Linked DNA regions of Coturnix japonica. The protein of the gene in region 5 binds, or shares a complex with, the protein of the main gene of each other region. Links are inferred from orthologs where the notes say so. Each region holds a gene or a part of one and is shown on either strand. Other genes may lie near its edges.

Region 1 (4,090 bases), on a different chromosome or scaffold from region 5:
AAGCAAAAAGGTGCGTGTGTGTATCTGTGTGTGTGTGAGGAGCAGCAGGATCCGAACCTCAGCTTCATCCGTCCTGAAGTAGAAGAGAAAGTTCACCACGAGCTTCACGAGGCGCTTCTTTAACACTGAAGAAGGAAAGGAGTGATGTGACAGCGAGCCCAGCGTGTGTGGGGCCCCCAAACCATCCCAGCACTCCCAGCATCTCCATTTCCATCCCAGTGCTTCCACCCCAGGACTTCCATTGTCATCCCAGCGCTCCTATCCCAGTACACCGTTCTGATCCCTGTGCTTCCATCCCAATACTCCCATCCCAGCACCTCCAGCTCCATCCTAATACCCCAATCCCAGCACCCCCAGCTCTGACCCAGTACTCCCATCCCAATACCCCCAATTCCATCCCATTACCACCATCCCAACACCCCCAGCTCTATCCCAACACCCCCATCCCAATACCCCCAGTTCCATCCCATTACCCCCATCCCAATACTCCTGTCCCCACCCCAACACCCCCAGCATTATCCCAATACCCCCATCCCATTACCCCCATCCCAATAACCCCAGTTCCATCCCATTACCCCCATCCCATCATCCTATCACCCCAACACCCCCATCCCCATCCCACCCCCAGCTCATATCCAATACCCCCATCCCAATACCCCATCCCAAACAAAACCCCAGCTCTGCCCCAGCACCCCCATTCCAACAGCCCCATCCTAATACCCCCAGTTCCATCCCAATACCCCCATCCCAACACCCCCAGGCTCTATGCCAATACCCCATCCAATACCCCAGTTCCATTCCCAATACCCCCATCCCAATTACCCCAATTCCATCCCTTACCACCATCCCAACACCTCCAGCTCTATCCAACAACCCCCATCCCAACACCCCAGCTCTTGCCCCAGCACCCCCAATTCCAACAGCCCCATCCCAATACCCCCAGTTTCCATCCCATTACCCCACCCCATCCCACCCCCACCCCATTACCCCCATCCCACACCTCAATCCATCACTCCCCATTCCCACCCCCAATTAACCCCCCCATCTTCCACCCTCACCCCCTTCCCACCCCCCCCTCTACCGCTGCCCCTTCTTGGGGACCCTCATCATGGATCTCTGCCGCTTTCTCTGCCGGTTGCCTGGACAGGACAGCAAGCTCCCGTTCGTTGTACCTCATGTCGGACCCCAAACGACCACCCCAACCCTACAAACCACCCCTAACCCTACAACCACCCCAACCCTACAACCACCCATACCCGACCCGGTAGTGCTCTATCCGGAACTAGAGGGGATGGAAGGGGGAGGGCAGAGCGCATGCGCCGGGAGCGGGGCTGAGCACGGCGGTATGGGGGATTTAGGGGGAGGGGATGTGGGGCTTAAAGGGGGGATATGGGGGAGTGAGACCCTCATTGAGGGGATGGGGTGGTCTGGAGGGGGGTCTTGGGCCCTGTGGGGGATTGTTTCGGGGCAGTGACCGTCGCTAAGGGAATAAGGGCCTGTGGGGCCTATAGAGCCTGTGGGGCCTATGGAGCTTATGGAACCTGTGGGGCCTGTGAGGCCTATGGAACCTGTGGGGGCTGTGGAGGCTGTGGGGCCTATGGGGCATGTGCAGCCTATGGGGCCTATAGAGGCTGTGGCATATGGGCCTATTTGGAGCCTGTGGGGCCTATGGAGCCTGTGGGGCCTATGGAGCCTGTGGGGCCTATGGAACCTATGGAGCCTGTGGGGCCTATGGAACCTATGGAGCCTGTGGGGCCTATGGAACCTATGGAGCCTGTGACCTGCACTGGAGAATGAGGGGGGTGAGGGGGCTTAGAGGGGTTCTTAGTGGAGGGACAGGACCCTCCAAAAGGAAACTGGGGGGCTATAAGTGGCATGGAGAGTTCGGGGGGTGTTTGTAGGGGGCTTTGAGGTGAGCTTTGGTGCTCGCTGAGGGAATGGGGGTGTTTAGAGGGGGGTGAGGGGGTGTCTGGGGGGTTGTGACCCCCATGTTAGTGGCTGGGGGGTGTGTGACCCTGTGTGAGAGGGTAGAGGTGGGCTGGGGGTGGTTTTGTCTCTTGCTGAGGTAATGGCAGTGCCTGGGCCGTGTCCTCGTGGCAGGGCTCAATGCGAGGCCCAGCTTAGGGCTGTGTTGTCACTTATGTGTCTTTTCTTCATTTTTCCAGACTTTTATTTTATTTTTCTCCTGAAGTCTCCAAAGCCCAGAAATCCCCACCATGGATTTTCAGCACCGTCCTGGAGGTAAAACGGGGAGTGGAGGCGTAGCTTCAGCCTCAGAAAGCAACCGAGACCGCAGGGAGAGGCTTCGGCAACTGGCTTTGGAGACCATTGACATCAACAAGGTGAGCCCCAGTCCTGCAGGCTACATGGGGTGAGGTCAGGGCTTCATCTCAGCAGAGAGTGAGAGGTTTAGTGGGGATCTGTGGAGTGGAATAAATACTTCTGTTCCCACTGATGAGGGACTCGAGCAACATGTGGAAGGGCCAAGCAGAGGGATACCAGCACTGGGCTTCTGTTATGTTCAGTCTTGGCACTGGTTCTTATTATGCTGCAGTTGGGTGTGCTGTTACCAGTGAACACAACTGCTCTTGTTCCTTTTTCTCTATATTCCTAAAGCAGTGTTGTGCTGATCCCTTCACTCCATGAGCTCATAGAGTTCTTACAGTGCAGCTCTGCTTTAGAATCTCGGTTGTTCAGTTGTTCCAATGCAGATTTTACATGTAACTTTTCAATCCTTCTCTTCCTAGGACCCCTATTTTATGAAAAATCACTTGGGTTCTTATGAATGCAAGCTTTGCCTGACGCTCCATAACAATGAGGTGAGTTGAGCAGCTGTCTGTCTTGATCTCCATGGCAGCAGATATTTTAGACTAATTCTAGCTCCAAGTGCTGGAACCGAAGCTGTTCCCGTTGGCTGATTGCTGGAGGGCCAATGGGGGGAGCAGAGGCTGTGTGTGTTAAGCATGACAAGTTTCTGACAGTTCAGCAGTTGTGAGCAATCTGAAATTTGTGAGTTTGATTCTGCTGTGCTCTGAGGATTAAAATATCTTTGTCAGTGTGAAATGTCACCTCTCATCTGTGACAAATATCTTTCTGTTCAGGAACAGTTCAGTCTTCATAACTTTCTTTTCCCCCCAGGGAAGTTACCTGGCACATACGCAGGGGAAGAAGCATCAGACCAATCTGTAAGTCATTCTCCACCGTGTTATTCTCCATTACTTGGGCACATTAAAATTAGATAATGAGCACCTATAAATCTTGGCCTCCATCATGTAGTAGCACTCTGGGCTTGAATGCTCTTTGTCTCTGTTTGTTTCCTAGGCATTCACCAGCTCTGCTCTGAACAGTGGTGCTGACAAGCTCCACTTCAAAGCCAGCTATGGCATTTAGATTAAGTATAACTGTAAGGGAAGCTGTTTTATGAATACAGCTTGAGAAAAGTTTGTAAGCTTTAATCTAAGAATTCAGGTTTGCTCTGCTTTAGATACCTGGCTTGTGTAATTCATTTCCTTTTTGACTTTTAAGAAGTCATCTCAGCTCCATCTGTGGAGCTGGACATCAAAGTCCTCTTAGGAGTGGGTGAGGTGATGGAGGTGACAGATTGTAGTCAAGGCAAGGAGTGGAACTGGCCTCCCATGGTGCTTGTGGAGGAGGAGCAGCAGTTTCCCATTATGCTTTCTGTGAAGTGCTGAATGCTCCGTCATACAGAACTCACTCTGCCTTTTAGAGTATCCTTCAGAACCAAGTGCTGATAACCATTTAACACTGCGCGTTTCCAATGAACCCAGGGCTCGTCGAGCTGCCAAGGAAGCAAAGGAAGCTCCTGCCCAACCTGCACCAGAAAAAGTCAAAGTGGAAGTGAAGAAGTTTGTGAAAATTGGACGACCAGGTTACAAAGGTTTGTCAGCAGTGCCTGTCATAGCAGATACCCCGTGGCTGCTGGAGCTTGCTTGAAGTGCAGTGCTGTGGGCATGAATTGTTCATCAGCCTTTTTAGCAGAGCTATCCATAAATAAGATATGGGCTTATCTCCTGATGTCCTTTATTGTTTAAATTACCCATGGGTTGTCTCTTTATTGCTGACAGTCGAG
Region 2 (4,072 bases), on a different chromosome or scaffold from region 5:
GTTAGGACCAGGTATCCAAAGACAGATCTGAGGGCACGACTCATCTTTAAAATTGAGATGTTTTCATAGAATCATAGAAAAGCTTGAGTTGGAAGGGACCCCCACAGTCAGTAAAAGCTGGTGGACAAAAGAACTGAGCACAGCCCCGACAAAAAGGACCTGGGGGTACTGGTGGATGGCAGCTGGACATGAGCCAGCACTGTGCCCTCACAGCCTGAAAAGCCAACTGTATCCTGGGCTGCATCCAAAGCAGTGCAGCCAGCAGGGTGATGGAGGGGATCTGCCCCTCTGCTTTGTGAGACCTCACCTGGAGTGTTGCATCCAGATGGGGAGTGCTCAGTGCAGGAGAGACACAGAGCTGTTGGAGCATAGCCAGAGGAGGGTCAGAAAAAGGGACTGAGACACTCGAGACCAGGCTGGACAGGGCTCTGAGCACCCTGATGTAGCTGTGGGTGTCTCTGTTCGCTGTGGGGGAGTTGGACCAGATGGCCTATCAATGATTTTGTGATTCTTTGACCTCAAAGACCACCCAGTTCCAACCCGCTGCCCAAAGCACTTGGCAGCATCACACATCTTCTCTCCGTGGGGAAGGAGCTGCTGTGCCCCTGCTGCTCTTTGCAGGGTGCTGTGCCCGCTCACCTGTCTATCACCAGCTCCAGCAGCACCACATGCGCATGCTGGCTGAACTCAGGATCCCCCTCGGCGTGACTGTACCGCTCCAGCAGCGCCAGCAGGTCCAGCTCACAGGACACTTTGTTGGGGAACTTCCAGGATGGGAATCGTGCAGGGCCGGTGCGGGAGGTGACGTCGGCGATGGCTCCTTGCAGGTCCCTCAGGTCGGCCTGCAGGCTCGCCATGCAGCCGGGGTGGCCCAGGAGGTGAGCCATGGGTGGACAGACAGACGGACAGATGGATGGACCAGCGCTGGGAACGGATGGTGGGTGACACCAAAGGGCTGCCAGCAGGATGGAGGGGACAGGCGCTGCGTCCCCAAGGCTGTATGATTTGGGGTGAGGGGTGTCTAGGCAGCGGCCTGCAGGGAGCTGCGGGAGGCGAACAGCAGCGCTGTGTGCGCTGAGGGCGCTGGGACGCCGGGACGGTCCCACCGGCTGCAGGTGATGCTGGAGGCGGCCGCCTGGGACTAGGCCGCGGCGCCGCACCCGCTGCCATGGCAACGCCCCGCCCGCACGAGCGGAACCACCCTCTGCGCATGCGCTCCTCCCCTCTGCGCCTCCTTCCTGTCGCGACGTTGAGCGTCACTTCCGGCGCGCATGCGCAGTTCGAGGTGCCTGTCCGCCATTTTGTCAGCGTCTCGGCGCCTTCTTTGCGGCCTTGTCTGAGCGGTCTGTTGTATCGCCATGCCGGCTGGGCCTGTGCAGGCCGGGCCTCCGGCGCAGCCAGCGCCGCCTGCAGAGAGCAAACCGGTAGGAACCGCGGCATGGAGGCTTCGGGCCTGTGGGCGGGATTTAGCGAGGGCTGCATGGCCGATACGGGGCTGGGTGACCGGCCACCCCGGGGTTTAATGCCTGTGACGGGGTGCGGCCCCATGTGAATGTACCGTCGCGTTGTTATGGTGGAGTTAACGAGGGAGCGCAGCGTTGTGGTCGTTTAAAAGCAGCGCTTAATGGTGGTGTTACACCGCCCTTCCATCTGCTGCTTGGAGGAAGTGGGGGTGAATGCTCCAAGGGGTTGTTGTGTCTTTCTTTTAACGTCTTTTATAGATCTTTAAGGTTGGGAAAAGCCGCAAAGATCCCCATGTCCGACCCCAGCCGGCCTCCACCGTGCACACTGCCCACGTCCCTTAGTGCCACAGCTCCATCATCCTGGGGCACCTCCAGGGATGCTGACCCCCCCCTTTGCTCTCTGTGCAGCCTTTGGCACTGCATCACCGCTTTGTGGAGAACAACTATTTCCAAATCTCCAATGTTTTGGGTGTTTTTGTTTTGTCTGGCAGGCTTTTAGTTACCATCAAGATGTCCCCTGTATCTGTGCTGTGAGGGAAGGGAGGCACCGTCAGCATCCTACAGAGAACTGCAGCTGGCTGTGCTGGGAGGCAGAGCTGCCCTTGGGGTGATTGCTGGGGCTGTGGTGCAGGTCCTCCCACAACCACAGGGAGGAAAACACTCAGCTGAGCTCTTCTCAGCTCTAAAAAAAGCTTTAAAGCCCTAGTAGGATGGGATGCTATGTGTTATTTACTGTTGGCTTGATCGTTTAGATTCCCATTTCTGGTAGCCCTGCAGACCGTTAGGAATCATAGAATCATTAAGTTTAGAAGAGAGCTCTAAGATCATGTAGTCCAGCTGTCACCCCATCCCCTCTATACCCACTGACCACTTCCCTCTGTGCCACATCCACATGTTTCTTGAAAGCTTCCATGGTCAGTGACTCCAGCACTTCGTGGGCAGCCTGTGCCAGTGCAGCACTGCTCCTTCCGAAAAGAAATATCTATGAATATCCAACCTGCAATGCTTGTAACTTCCAGAGCTGTCCAGCAATACTGAATTCTTCCTGGGTGTGGTGTTATAGGCATGCTTTGCTACATCTTGGCTCAACATCTATAAACTTCCACTGGGTTGAGGCTGAAAGAGCAGAAACACTGGGAAGAGTTGTTTGGTTCCCATGGGATGGCCTTCCTGCTTGTCTCACTCGCAGCAGCCCCCGCAGCAGGTGCCCTTGGCAGGCTGACAAACACCATCTCCTCGCCTGGGAAGCTGCTGAGTGCTGCTGCTTTGCAGGACTACAGGTTCAGATTGTTAAACTATATCTTCGTGCCACGAAAATGTCATGGTCTGAGGAGAACAGGCAGTTCTGTCTGCTGCAGGAGTTGCTGTTTGAAATGCTTAATTCTTCCAGAGCACTCCTTCAGCATGGTATTTCAGAACAGCTTTTTAAGGTACCATAGGACTGTTACTCAAGGTACAGAAACTGAAAGAGAAAGGGAAGTGAATTTTACAACTCAACTCACTAAAAATAAACACAATCAAAGTTTGGACACTACCAGGCTGTGTTTGCACACTCTGATGCTGATGTATGATGTGATATTCGAGATCATTTGTAGCTCCTTTGCTTGTTACCATGTTAGATTTAGGCTGTTTGAATTTACTATCTTGACTAGTGGCAAATACTGCAGAGTGAAATGTGTCTTCCAGAGATGGTGGTTCAGGAATGTTTTTGCTACTTAGGAGGTAGCAATACATAAGACTGTAAGAAAAATGTTTTTCTTGCAGCCAGAAGAGGAGCCAAAAGAGGAAGCAGCACCAGCCAAACCTGTGGTGGGAATTATTTATCCTCCTCCCGAGGTCAGGAATATTGTTGACAAGACTGCCAGCTTCGTAGCCAGGTAAACAGCAGTGGTGTTGTCTTGTCTTTCATGGGAATTTTCTGCCTCTCACCTTCCAGTGCTACTGTCTGTGTGTCTCCAGAAGCTGAAACAAATCACAGTCCCACAGCGTTCCCTGGAGGTTTCTAAGGATTGAATTTTTATCAGTGAGATTGTAGAATAGAGGCAGCAATTGTCTCCTTGGAGATTTAATATGTGCTTTGCTAGAAAAGCTGTGGTAGTAAATAAATTCTTTTTAAAATGACCTGGAGGGCAAACAAAATTGCAGGTGGAAAGGAAGCCTTGTTTGTTACTAGCACTTATTGAATGACTAAGCCAACAGGAGTCATTCATTTATTTTTACTCTACTTTACATTGTGTGGGCAATTACCTCTCCTTTAGGGTACACTAGGTTCCTTGTTGGACCCTGAGGCTCAGTCCCATCCCTGTTCACCTACAACTTCATGAAGTGTGCCAGCACCTGGGGCACTCTGACTCAGCTGTCTCTTCCCTTCTATAGCCAAGGGGATAGAAGTGCATGTTCCCAGGGAGAGGTCTGGGGTAGGTGAACTGCCCATGATGTGCATGGCATATTTATCCTAGTTTAGTGCAGCAGGTTGATTATCACAAGTATAGATGTCACAGTTAGGGGAGAAGCCTGGAAGTTTAATACATCTTTATTCATTTGGGCTTTTTCCTCCTGTTACCAACATGAAAACATAAACTGCTGGTGTTAGCCAGGCCATCTTAAAA
Region 3 (3,510 bases), on a different chromosome or scaffold from region 5:
GGCATGTTTCCATAAAGCAGAGAAAGATTCTCTAAAGAGATAATGTGCACTTCATAAGATGTTTGAAAACACAGCCCCATTCAGTGTGTTCGTGGTTTTGTTTCTATCCAACACGTTTATTCCCCCGTGAGAAAAAAATGTTTTAAGAAATCTTTGCTGTTACCTTTCAGATCAAGATCTAAAGAAAGGACAGAAGGTGTGGAAGTTTCCAAAGAAAAGAAAAAAGAGAAAGATGACAAGGAAGAAGAGAAGGATAAAGATGCTGGTGCATCTACTGTGGCCACTGAGGTAGGAGCTCTGAGGATAATCTTCTAACTTTTAAATGTATAAACAAGGAACTGAGGTAGCCATAGATTACTGTATTAACAAAAAAAAAAACTATTCTCAGGATTGGCCAAAATCCCTGCTGAGTTAATGAGTCCCACTCTCTTCTATAACTCCTGTCACAGGGTGTGCTTCCAATTCTTGCCATTAGTAACATTCTGTTTCTACTGTGCTGTCAGCAAGGGCTCCCCATGCATAGATGGGTCCCTTTTTTTGTTGTTCTTGAAGGATTATTACTTACAGAATTGTATACGTGCTACTGTTGTGAAAAATAAAACAGCTGAGTTTTGTATTTTAAAGCACTGTAGCTGCTTTTAGTGTTTTTTGTTTACTCCTGTTGTGATAGGTTTCTGTATGCCCATGGATCAACTTGGTGCTCAGTTACATTTGTTTGGAAAGGCTTTTTGACTGAAGAATAGACAAATGCCAGTGGCCATTAATTTTCACTGGTTGTTTCTTGCCATAGAATTTTGATCAGAACAAACTGGAAGAAGAAATGAGAAAACGAAAAGAAAGAGTGGAGAAGTGGAGGGAAGAGCAACGCAAGAAGGCAATGGAGAACATAGGAGAACTGAAAAAGGAAATTGAGGAGATGAAACAGGGGAAAAAATGGAGTTTGGAAGATGATGATGGTATTTTGATTTTAGATGTAACATTTAAAACACGTTTGTTCCTGATAATATTTTTATTATCTTTAAAGCATTTAAAGACTTTTCAAAAAGTGAACTATGAAATAGCAAAGCCTAAACCTTGTCACGGCTTCAAACATTTTAAGGTAGTGTTGAGATTAACAAATTTGAGAGATTTTTTAATGAAGAAAAATGATACAGTAATAAAAATGGACAGTAATTATTTGGGCAGGCTAACAATGTAACATAGAGTTATTTCCTCTCTGTTTTATTCCTGTTTTTCTTAATCATATTAGATGATGATGAGGAAACTGCAGAAGGAGAAAAGGAAGGCAATGAGGTTGAAGATGAAGAATTAGATCCTTTGGATGCTTATATGGAAGAAGTAAAAGAAGAAGTCAAGAAGTTCAATATGAGAAGTGTGAAGGGTGGAGGTGGGAGCGAAAAGGTAAAATTGAAAGTAGCTTTGTGTTTCAGTATGGAAATGGTTTTGGAAAAAAGAAGGGAAGAAATAGGTTAGATCCATTCAGTGATTGTTTGCCTTGAATTTTCTGATGTTATTAATAAGCTGATAGCAATATCCTCATAAAATTTCACTGCAAGAGATGTATGAAAAAACAGTGTAATATGTTCATAAGTAGAAATATTCTGTATATTTCATACAGCATGTCTTTTATGAGTGATGCAATGATTTCTATTAACTTTTTTTCTTTTTCTTTTCTTTTTTGCAGAAATCTGGACCAACTGTTACCAAAGTGGTAACCGTGGTGACAACCAAAAAGGCAGTTGTAGAGACAGAAAAGAAGAAAGGGGAACTCATGGAGAATGATCAAGATGCAATGGAGGTAATGGAAGTGTCTTGTGAGTATGTATGTGGCAGCTCAGCCTGCATGTTCTAATACATATCTAATATGAAATAAATGTTTTCTGAGGGTTTGCATTTCTGTTTCTTTTCTAGGTAAGTATAAATATGTTTAATTCCAAATGAACTGTAAGTTCCAGGTCTCAAAACTCTTCTTAAACGATAATTCTTTATTTATTTTGTGTCTGACAAATTAGTGGCATGTAGTGGCATAGTAGCTATTCTATACACTCAAATTATTATTTTTTAAATACTGTTCTCTTAATATTTGTACTGTATAGCTATGATTATTTCTGAATGACGGGACTGTTCTAGTTAGTATTTATAAAGTCATAGAAGTGATATGGAACAGTGAAAGTTAAGGTTTGGAAGAAATATGAAATAAATTGATGAGCAAATGATATGGGCTCCTCTCACAGTGAGAGCAGATTTTCAGTATCCAGTTTAATGGGCTAAGAAAAAGCTTTTGCTTCTGAGTCAAGTTTCTGTATAAACAAGTAACAGCATCTCAGAATGTCATTCACAGTAACTTAAACACTCTTAACAATCTATACAGTATTCTTCAGAAGAAGAGGAAGTTGATCTTCAGACTGCCCTGACTGGCTATCAGACCAAGCAGAGAAAGCTGCTAGAACCTGTGGATCATGGAAAAATAGAATATGAACCCTTCAGGAAAAACTTCTATGTTGAAGTACCTGAACTCGCTAAAATGACACAAGAGGGTAAGTACAAGTATGAGCAGAACACATTCTAGTGTGCAAGGAAGTAGCAAATTCTGATTCAGTGTGGAGTGCTCTTGAAGGAGCAAAGAAGTGCTGTACAGCTCAAGTCTTTGGAGTAATTTTGTTGAGAATTTGAATGGGAGAGGGGATTCTTTTTGAGCAACAGAATGAAAATGAGTCAGATCCCTATTACCGATAACCCCATGCTATCTCAAGGTAGCAGATGTCATGTTTGACTCTGTTCTAATGCAAACTCTGTTTCAGAGGTGAATGTGTACCGACTGGAGATGGAGGGAATAACAGTCAAGGGAAAAGGCTGCCCCAAACCAATAAAGACCTGGGTTCAGTGTGGTATTTCCATGAAGATTCTTACTGCTCTCAAAAAGTAAGCAAGCGATGTACAACCCAAGTCATGCTTGGTTTTGTCTACTCTGTTCTATCATACATATGTTAGTGAGAAAAACGTTCTTTGTTGCATAAAGCAACGTGTCCATGTCTGCTGGTGTTACATGTTTAGTCCTCAGTCATTTTGCAGTCAGTATTAAACGGTTGTTACAAACTGTTCTTTCAGCCATTTGTATCATGTGACTGCTCATTTTTAAGATGTTTTTAGAGTGACACCGATGCTTAGAAGTAAATAAGAACGTGCACATTTCTTCTAGCATGACTGTGATATATGTCCATCAAATCATATTTTGATCTTACAATCTCTTTTTTTGACGTTTCTCTCCCCTTCTTTAAGACACGGCTATGAGAAACCCACGCCCATTCAGAGCCAAGCTATCCCAGCAATTATGAATGGTCGCGACTTGATTGGCATTGCTAAAACAGGAAGTGGAAAAACTATCGCCTTTCTATTGCCCATGTTCAGGCATATTATGGATCAGAGAGCTTTAGAAGAAGGAGAAGGTCCCATAGGTACAAAGCTCTTGTTTTCAGAATTGCTATTTAAGTAAACAAAAGCTCGTTCTTA
Region 4 (4,163 bases), on a different chromosome or scaffold from region 5:
GTATTGTGGTCTGAAGCAAACCATTCAAAACTATTACCATTAACCCATCCGATCTTCCAAAGCGATGGTGGGGAAGGTAATTACAGCACAACAGTATTTTTCAACACTAGATGGTACAGGGCTTTGTCAATTAATGTAATCTTTTCATTAAAAGCAGCTACTGAGATGTTACCATCGATAAATCAGCACAATCAGTTTATTAAAAGAAACCTGTTTAAAGGAGGAAGCGTGTGAGTAGACACATGGGAACGTGCAACAGAAGAACACCTTATTCAAGAATAAAATATCCACTATGCTGCAACACTATATTACGTTTGAACCAACAAAACAGCCTGACAACACAGGCAGAAGTTCAGCCACAGCTCCCATCTCAGGCAGCTCAATGTAACCAGCTTGAGACAACTCCTGCCTCTGCCACCACCTGCGAAGAGACCACTGCTCTGCTGAACTGTTTGCCTATCCATTAATGAGGGCCAACAGGAGCTTTGGCACTCCCAACATATCAGGATCTGACACCCATTACCCCTGGGGTCAGTCACCGACCTCAGCAATTTGGCACCTTTGGCACCGTTTGAGAGAACACTAAGTCAGTAATCCCCAACACCAAGGAATCAAATTTAACCAATCTCCCTCCCATGCACTGGTAAAAGCAACAGGCAAATCAGCTGTGGTCATTCAGTTGCCTTCAATAAACAAGATCAAGACTCAGGCACAACAAGGAAACACATAATTCCACTAAAATAATTGTTTTCATCTGTATTTGCTCTTGTTGGGTGAAAGAATAGCAAGGCTCATGCTTGCAGGGGCTGGACTAGATCTCAAATGCCCTTTCTGACCTCAACAATTCTGTGCTTCCCCCTCCCCATCTGAAGTCCTACTGCCTATGATGTTAATTGGAGGGAAATTCATCCATTTCCAAAAGCTGCATAGAAGTTACACTAGCAAATCACCCAGAAACTCTACCACACGCTCCTGAGCTATTTACTACTGTTGCTCATCTTCTATCTTCTTCAGGACTAATATATCTCACAATACTTTTCCTCAGAGGCAGCTTGCAGAAGATGCCTATGAATACAAATTAAGAAAGTTAAGAATAAAGATAAAATCATCATTAATTCAGCTGCAGGCTGGCCAGAGCTTAATAGCTACGTGGGGCACAGTCACCTCCACACTGAAGGAACCCAGCTACCTGCCCGGAGATTCATGAGAGCTGAAGCCCAACGAAAGCCTTATATTGCTGGCCATCAGCCCCAGCTGAACTCTGCCTGTGCATCCAGCTTCCCAGCACAGGTTCTTCAGGACTGCAGACATTGTGCTCCTAAGTACATTAATAAATAATTAATAAATACCAGAAAGAAACTTCAGAGACATCCCACACGTACTCCATCAACCAACAACTCCTTCAGGCATTTCATTTTTGCACAGTTGTCCCATCACTCGACTGTGAAACCAAAACAACTCCAAGAAGCACTTTGACCCCGCCAGGTTTGTTACGTGTTTCTAGTTTCTTGTCTACTTCAAAGGGCAGATCAAGTTCTTGATTTTGTTTGCAGCTTGCTGCAATGCAGCACTGGGGTGAAACGAAATACCTGAGGCTTCCAGTGCTACTGAAGACACTGGAAGGACACTACACCAAGTGTGTGAATCCAACCAAGTCCTCACAGTGAAAGAAACACTCACATGGTTACAGCATTTAAAAATAACGTGGTGCAAGAAACATGGGACCCAAACTTCCCTTCTTACGTTACAGCCTGGTAAAACATACACTGCATATACTTAGATTGCAGCGAGGGTGTTAAGGGAACGTAGGACTTTAAACCTTGGACCGTAGGATGTTGCTTCCTCAGATCTCCGCATACTTTGAAATTGATCTTACTTATAAGCTGGAGAGCTCTGAGCTGTCCGTCTGCACACAGCCCTTCCTGCCTCAGGAACAAACCCAAGGGATTTAATACAGAAAACAATCTGAAACCGCCTGAAGATCAGGTCTTCCAAGCATTTAAACACATAGTTTACATTAAATCGATCAGCAGTTTCTCATCATACAACAGGGCTACATCTGGACAGAGTTCACTCAAAAACTCCAACCCTTTGTGCCCATATTCCTCCTCCTCTTGTCTCACTGCACCGTTAATAGCAACTAACAGTAACTAACACGGCCTCTCGCAGCTCACCCGCCACACACACACACACACACACACAGGAGGAAAAGCAGGCCAGCAATCGCACAGAGCTAATGCTAACAACTGGCTTTGTTTGCTTCGAGACGCCCACAAGCGATGCCGCCCGGGAAGCCGTGCGGGGAGCAGGGAGAGCCCCCGCCACAGCAGCTCCGCTATGGACCCGCCCAGCGGCGGCACCGAGCACTCTCTACATGGCGCCTCCCGACCAAGGGGGGGCACCTCGGCGGGCGACATCTTGTAGCTGCCGTCGGGATGGCGCCGTTCTATCAATGGCAGCACGGCGCTCCGCACCGCCCGCACAACCCCGCAGCGCCGGGCGGCCCGGCCATGGCGCTCATATGGGCGGCGACGCCATTACGAGCGGGCCCGGCCCGGCCCGGCAGCCATAACCCCGGCACCACTGAGGGCTGCGGACGGAGTATAACGGGATTAGAAGACGCGAAAGGTGCACGCAGCTTAAAAAAGAACCGCCAGGAGCGGATTTCAGCCCTTTACCTTCGTGGGTCTTGGCGATCTTCGCCATTTTGTCCAGCGCCAACAACACCGACACGGAACTGCCGCGGCCCCAGCGCTTCCGCTCGGGGGGGGGGGGAGGAGGGAGGCGAGGCAGTACTGCGCACGCGCAGTTGCGGGCCGCGCCGCGGCTGGCCGAGGGCTGGGGCGTTGCGCAAGCGCAGTGACGGCGGCCAAAAGCGCCACTCGGGCGGCCGGGCGGCCCCGCAGGCCGAGATCGGAGCCACGTCCTCCGTCTGACTGACGTCTCTGCCAGCCAATAGGAATGCGGCGTGGAAGACAAGTGGCCAATAGCGGTGCGGCGAGGCGGAGGGGTGGGGATGTGGCTTGAGCACTGCGTGCTACGGGGCCTCTGCCGCAAGATGGCGGCGGTTTGTACGTTAATGCTGAGCTGCTGTTTGCCTAATGCTCCACATGCACTAATGCTCCATAATGCCTGTGCTCCACATAGAGCGCTGAGAATATAGCCAGGGGTTGATAGTAAACATGTATCCATCGCAGCGTGGAGCCACAGCAGGAGTAAATCCAATCCTAGCACTGCTAATAGCCATGTTATATGCAAAGTCTAGCCCACATGAAGCACCAACACTGACCTGAGATCCAAGTCTGACTTAAAGCCAATGTTTTGTGTTTGAGAACATGAGTTTGATCAGTCAGTCCATCCCTGTGTCTGCATTTGCTTTTTTATCGCTTAGTTTACAGAAGTTTACTGAGCAATTCAGTGCTTGTAATACTTTGCATAACTGCATGTGTTGAAATATACTTGAGATTCATGTGAAAGCACAGAGGATCTGCTCTTTAGTATTATTAAACTCACATCCTGCACTCGTAGGCTATGGAACAGAGATATATACCGAGCTGTTGAGAGACGTGTGAGGATAAGGTCAAGGCAGACACTAATTCCCTACTACAGGAATTTAATGCCTGCAACTATTTTAAGTAACCGTCACATGCTTGGGTTCACCACGAAGATCAATTTGCAGTAACTTTCTCTTGTTTCTTCAGCTTGACTTCCAGCTTGCTTTATATCACATTCCCACTGTTATTAAACAGAACTGAGCTCAAGGGTTGCGATCCTAAGGTACACTTTTAACATGTGGTTTTGGAAGATGCCATTTCCCCTCACAAAAGGAGTCCTGTGTTGTGTGGAAAATGGAAGTTTCTATATGGATTGGAAAGATATTGGTTTTAAGAGCCCAGAAGCTTTCCACATAGTGTCATACCTAAATAACAAGCTGGCATGGTCTTGCTTTAATTAACAGATTCAGGTCCAATGTCATGGCCAGCCCATGCTATCAGTAGCTGGTACCAAAAAGCATTGCCCAGTCACGCCTGTCCTTGATTTACCCATTCAATTGTGCCATTGCCACTGGTTCACTCAAGTAGCCCAATGCTCACAGCTACTGCCTCCTGCTAATCTTCGAAGAACAACTAATTCAATTTTTACAGCCACAAAACTATTAAGAA
Region 5 (4,212 bases):
AAGCAGGCACGGAAATACTCCTCAGCACGCAGCCAGGCGAGCAGAGCCTTCACTGTGAGCCCAGCATTAACCACACACTGAGCTTGAAAAGCCACCCTACAGAGGGACACGGTGGCTCCTGCCACATGCTTTTGGGGCTCACTGTGGGCATCCCTCGCTGCCCTGTGGTTGAGGGCTCTCTCTTTCCAAACATTCTTTTCAGCTCCCTGCTGGAGGTCACCCATTTCCCAGCTGCAGGCATCTACATGCAGCGTCAGGTCATGGCTCCAGCACAGCCTCTTCTGAGCTCTTAAACCCAACATAAACCTGCCCCAGCAGCTCCTGCAGCCCTGCAGGGATGGGTCTGGAGACCAGGTGCAGCTGAAGGCTTGGACTTGGACCTGTGTGTGCTAACAAGCCCGGGTCCACTACTGTCCATACTGCCTGGGGTAGTGGGGAACCAGAGCTGAAGGTGAACTTTCTCCTTTGCCTCTGTTACGTGAGGTTAGGGATGTGGCTGAGCCCTTCAGGCATCCTGAATGCTCCTCCTGCTGTTATCCCTTCTTCCAGACCCTCAGCTAAGGTCCAAAAAGGTGGGGAGGCCGCAGAACTCACAGAGACAGCTTTATTCCTCAATATACTCAAGGATCATGTAGTTCCAACCCCCCTGCCTAGCAGGGCCACCAAACATACACATTTACTAGTTCAGGTTGCCCAGGAGACCCCATAGATCCCCATAGAGACCATAGAGACCCCATAGATCCCCATAGAGACCCCATAGATCCCCATAGAGACCCCATAGACCCCATAGATCCCCATAGAGACCCCATAGAGACCCCATAGATCAGGTTGCCCATGGCCCCGTCCAACCTGGCCTTGAACACCTCCAAGGACGGGGCATCCACAACCTCCCTGGGCAGCCTGTTCCAGGACCTAACCACTTTCCTAGTGAAGAACTTCCCCCTAACATCCAACCTAAATCTTCCCTCTTTTAACTTAAAACCATTTCCCCTAAGTCCTGACATCCTTCAGCCGTGATGTCCAAAGCCCATTAAGCACAACGTCTGTTCATCCCAGGAGCAACATCTGTAACCCCAAGGCAGGCAGGAAGGAGGCAGCACCGGACTGGACATGTTTTATTCTGCTTGGGCTGTGATTCATGGCTGTATAACGCTGCCCACAGCCACATTGAAGCTGGAGGCTTTCACCCCAGCCTGGGGGCACCTGCAGTGCTCTCAATCCTTACGACTTTATGGGTTTGAAGCGAGAGGTGTCAGAAAAGTTCCCACTTTTCTGGGATAACTGGGATAACTGGCTTGTGGCGGCCAGTGGATCTCACTGCTCTACACCTTCACATGGGCTAAAATCAACGCGGAACCACATTCAATCCGGATCAAGCGGCTCAGGGAAGGGGCCGGACCCTTCCGGTGTTACACAGCGAGCTTCTGGTTCCGGGCTGGAAGGGGAGAAGATGGAGACGATCCTTGAGCAGCAGCGGCGCTACCATGAGGAACGAGAGCGGCTGATGGACGTCATGGTGAAGGAGATGCTCACTAAGAAATCCACGGTGAGCCCGGGGATGGGAGTGGGGGGACACAGGGGGTGTGTGCCCGGGGAGAGGGGGGGGGGGTGTGGGGGGGGTAGGCCGGGCTCAGGCCTTCATTATTAACGCCGTTTATTTCTATGCAGCTCCGCGATCAGATCAACTCCGACCACAGGACTCGGGCTATGCAGGATGTGAGTGGGGTCGGGGTGTGAGTGGGGCTGGGGGTGGTTCGGGTAGCTGTGGAGGTGCAGGGCCCAGATTGGCCCCGGTTTGGTTGAGGTTCTTTGTGTCAACGTGAGGTTTGTGTTGTGTTTTAGAGGTACATGGAAGTGAGCAGCAACCTGAGGGACCTGTATGACGATAAGGATGGGTGAGTGTATAGCGGGCTGGAATGGACATGGGGCTGCCTTGGATCTGCTTTATACACCACAGACATGATGCTACAATGCAAAGCTGGGGGTCTGCCCTAAAGAGGAGGACCCAGATTTCACATGAAACATGCAACACAAACACTTCTCAAGCAGAAAGCACAGAGCAGTACTACAGCCCTGTCCCCCTTCCTATCCCCATATGGGGGTGGAGCTGATCCCCCACCACACTCCTACCTCCTCTCACCCAACCCCACCAGCTGTACCAGACCCTCTGGTATTGAATCATTGAGGGAGACGGTCTCTAACTGAGACTGCAGCGTTTGCAATAGAGATGTGACCCTGATCCTCAAAGCACAATCCTGGCTGCATGTGGAACATCAGTGGGTGTATGGGAGATTGGTAATCACAGCCTGAACCTCTGATTAATCAGCTGAGCCAAGTGTTGGGTCAGCTGTGGGAGCACAGGTGAGAGTAATTTAGCTGTTCCCCATAAAGGGGTGGAGCTTGACTTCACCTCCTCTAGACCTCATTGAAGGGCTGACCACCACTAATGCAGCATCTCTTGGTGATTGCTGCTTGGTAGTGATCACTTCAGTGGTTCCCAGCAGATCTAAGGCTTCCATATGGGTGAGCTTAACTTGTAAATAACCTTTTGGTTATTTACTACCATCTTTTCATTATTGTCCCCATATGGTGGGGCTGTGATTTCAGTCTCACTGGTGTTTTGTGGGAGCAGAATGCAGTGTTAGACTTCCAAACATTATACCAATATAAACCAACATAAACGTGTTTTCTATATGCAACCTGTCTTCTTTTTATGAACCTGTAGCTTACGGAAGGAGGAGCTCAGTGCCATTTCAGGGCCAAATGAATTTGCTGAATTCTATAACAGACTGAAACAAATAAAAGAGTTCCACCGCAAGCATCCCAATGAGGTAAGCAGCAGCTCCATAAGGATAACTGGTTTGTGGTGTGTTGGGCTTCATCTCTGCTGTATTAAAATGTCATTCAGGAAAACAAAGTGTCTAGAAATAGGTGATGCTTTGAGACTTTATATGAGCCTCTGTCTGAGTAGGAGAAAATGCAGGATGCTCACCATGTCCTCCACACTCTCTATTAGTTTAAGAGCATTCTGCTTCTGAGCTAGCATTCATTCTTGCCTGCCTAATGCTGTCTTTAGTGCAAATATAATCATGAAGAAGTGCTTGAAACACCTCTTCAGTTACTTGTTTTACTGTTTGCAGTCTGTATTAATTACTCCTGGGCATTAGCTGAACTAATCCCTTTTTCTATAACTTCTTCTGTTCCTGAAGATTTGTGTTCCAATGTCAGTGGAGTTTGAGGAACTGTTGAAGGCCAGAGACAACCCAAGTGAAGAAGCTCAAAGTAAGTCTTCAGGGTTTTGTTTGTTTCTTGTTTGAGGTTTGTTTAGTTGAGAACACATTGCTTGCCGTGATTTAGTGACCTGTCTGTTCTGCTTTGATTTCCACCTCCCTTTCCCTACATTAACCATAACAACTGTTTTAATTTCATTTAAATTCTTCTGGGCTGCAGCCACCCTGAAATATTCCACTGTTGAGATGGTTCTTTTGGGGGATGGTCTGATATAACACTAGGAAGCTGGTGGCCATCTAGTCGATGAGTATCCATTTGCATTATAAACATGCTTAAGAAAGATAAACTAGTCTGCAGTTCAGCTTCTAAAGCATGCATATAACAAGCAGAGGATGTTGAGTTTGTAACAAAGCCCTGCGTGCTCTTTCCTGCAGACCTGGTGGAGTTCACAGATGAAGAAGGGTATGGAAGATACTTAGATCTGCATGATTGCTATCTCAAATACATTAATCTGAAATCATCAGAGGTAAGTGGTTGCAGTAGTGTGGGCACTCTGTTGTATTGCACTTCAGTGCTGAGGGCTCAGTGGTCTGTTTTAAATGTCATTTATTTCCAAATAGCTGTTTTATGGTGCTTGTTTTGCATTGTGTTAGAAAGCACACTGTAAACCCCAGCCCTGTGCAGACCATGCAGAATAAAGGCATGAGCTTTGTGCTTTTCTTCTAGTCTGGTGACTGGAAATTGGTTGCTGATATGCTGTGTGTATCTAAAGTCTGAATCAAACTTCCTTTCATTCTTAGAAACTGGATTACATCACTTATCTGTCTACATTTGACCAACTCTTTGACATCCCCAAAGAGAGAAAAAACGCTGAATATAAGAGGTGAGTCTTTTTCCTGCCTGCTTCATTCATGAAAGTAGTTGATGAGAAGGAATTTGCTTCTCAAGTGTCCAGGAGCAGAGTTAGTAATCAAGCAGAGG

The links.
Region 1: SF3A3 (region 5) and SF3A2 share a complex: the UniProt entries of both Homo sapiens proteins name them as parts of the SF3A subcomplex of the 17S U2 SnRNP complex. The link is inferred for Coturnix japonica from reciprocal best matches to the Homo sapiens genes SF3A3 and SF3A2.
Region 2: the proteins of SF3A3 (region 5) and SF3A1 are in contact, whole or in part, in an NMR structure (PDB 2DT7), measured with the Homo sapiens proteins. The link is inferred for Coturnix japonica from reciprocal best matches to the Homo sapiens genes SF3A3 and SF3A1. Residues at the interface, in NP_006793.1 of Homo sapiens: Glu80, Phe81, Glu83, Phe84, Tyr85, Arg87, Leu88, Ile91, Lys92, His95; in NP_005868.1 of Homo sapiens: Ala161, Phe162, Asp165, Val166, Leu169, Thr170, Phe173, Asn177, Phe181, Gln184, Leu185, Lys188, Phe195.
Region 3: SF3A3 (region 5) and DDX46 share a complex: the UniProt entries of both Homo sapiens proteins name them as parts of the 17S U2 SnRNP complex. The link is inferred for Coturnix japonica from reciprocal best matches to the Homo sapiens genes SF3A3 and DDX46.
Region 4: SF3A3 (region 5) and SF3B1 share a complex: the UniProt entries of both Homo sapiens proteins name them as parts of the 17S U2 SnRNP complex. The link is inferred for Coturnix japonica from reciprocal best matches to the Homo sapiens genes SF3A3 and SF3B1.

The regions. Positions count from the first base shown.
Region 1 is NC_029543.1:1,224,611-1,228,700, reverse strand, and holds the start of SF3A2 (splicing factor 3A subunit 2), read left to right. Parts: upstream 1-1,286; 5' UTR 1,287-1,343; intron 1,344-2,165; 5' UTR 2,166-2,216; coding exon 2,217-2,342; intron 2,343-2,747; coding exon 2,748-2,819; intron 2,820-3,138; coding exon 3,139-3,185; intron 3,186-3,788; coding exon 3,789-3,898; intron 3,899-4,090. UniProt on the Homo sapiens protein: Component of the 17S U2 SnRNP complex of the spliceosome, a large ribonucleoprotein complex that removes introns from transcribed pre-mRNAs.
Region 2 is NC_029530.1:9,656,237-9,660,308, forward strand, and holds the start of SF3A1 (splicing factor 3A subunit 1), read left to right. Parts: upstream 1-1,269; 5' UTR 1,270-1,358; coding exon 1,359-1,424; intron 1,425-3,227; coding exon 3,228-3,340; intron 3,341-4,072. Other genes in the region: coiled-coil domain-containing protein 157-like, read right to left, coding at 636-887. UniProt on the Homo sapiens protein: Component of the 17S U2 SnRNP complex of the spliceosome, a large ribonucleoprotein complex that removes introns from transcribed pre-mRNAs.
Region 3 is NC_029528.1:2,453,578-2,457,087, forward strand, and holds part of DDX46 (probable ATP-dependent RNA helicase DDX46), read left to right. Parts: intron 1-170; coding exon 171-288; intron 289-790; coding exon 791-956; intron 957-1,249; coding exon 1,250-1,401; intron 1,402-1,684; coding exon 1,685-1,798; intron 1,799-2,371; coding exon 2,372-2,537; intron 2,538-2,801; coding exon 2,802-2,922; intron 2,923-3,279; coding exon 3,280-3,455; intron 3,456-3,510. UniProt on the Homo sapiens protein: Component of the 17S U2 SnRNP complex of the spliceosome, a large ribonucleoprotein complex that removes introns from transcribed pre-mRNAs.
Region 4 is NC_029522.1:27,038-31,200, reverse strand, and holds the start of SF3B1 (splicing factor 3B subunit 1), read right to left. Parts: upstream 2,810-4,163; 5' UTR 2,707-2,809; coding exon 2,679-2,706; intron 1-2,678. UniProt on the Homo sapiens protein: Component of the 17S U2 SnRNP complex of the spliceosome, a large ribonucleoprotein complex that removes introns from transcribed pre-mRNAs.
Region 5 is NC_029538.1:3,123,843-3,128,054, forward strand, and holds the start of SF3A3 (splicing factor 3A subunit 3), read left to right. Parts: upstream 1-1,403; 5' UTR 1,404-1,450; coding exon 1,451-1,546; intron 1,547-1,668; coding exon 1,669-1,716; intron 1,717-1,842; coding exon 1,843-1,895; intron 1,896-2,725; coding exon 2,726-2,831; intron 2,832-3,209; coding exon 3,210-3,282; intron 3,283-3,665; coding exon 3,666-3,757; intron 3,758-4,031; coding exon 4,032-4,114; intron 4,115-4,212. UniProt on the Homo sapiens protein: Component of the 17S U2 SnRNP complex of the spliceosome, a large ribonucleoprotein complex that removes introns from transcribed pre-mRNAs.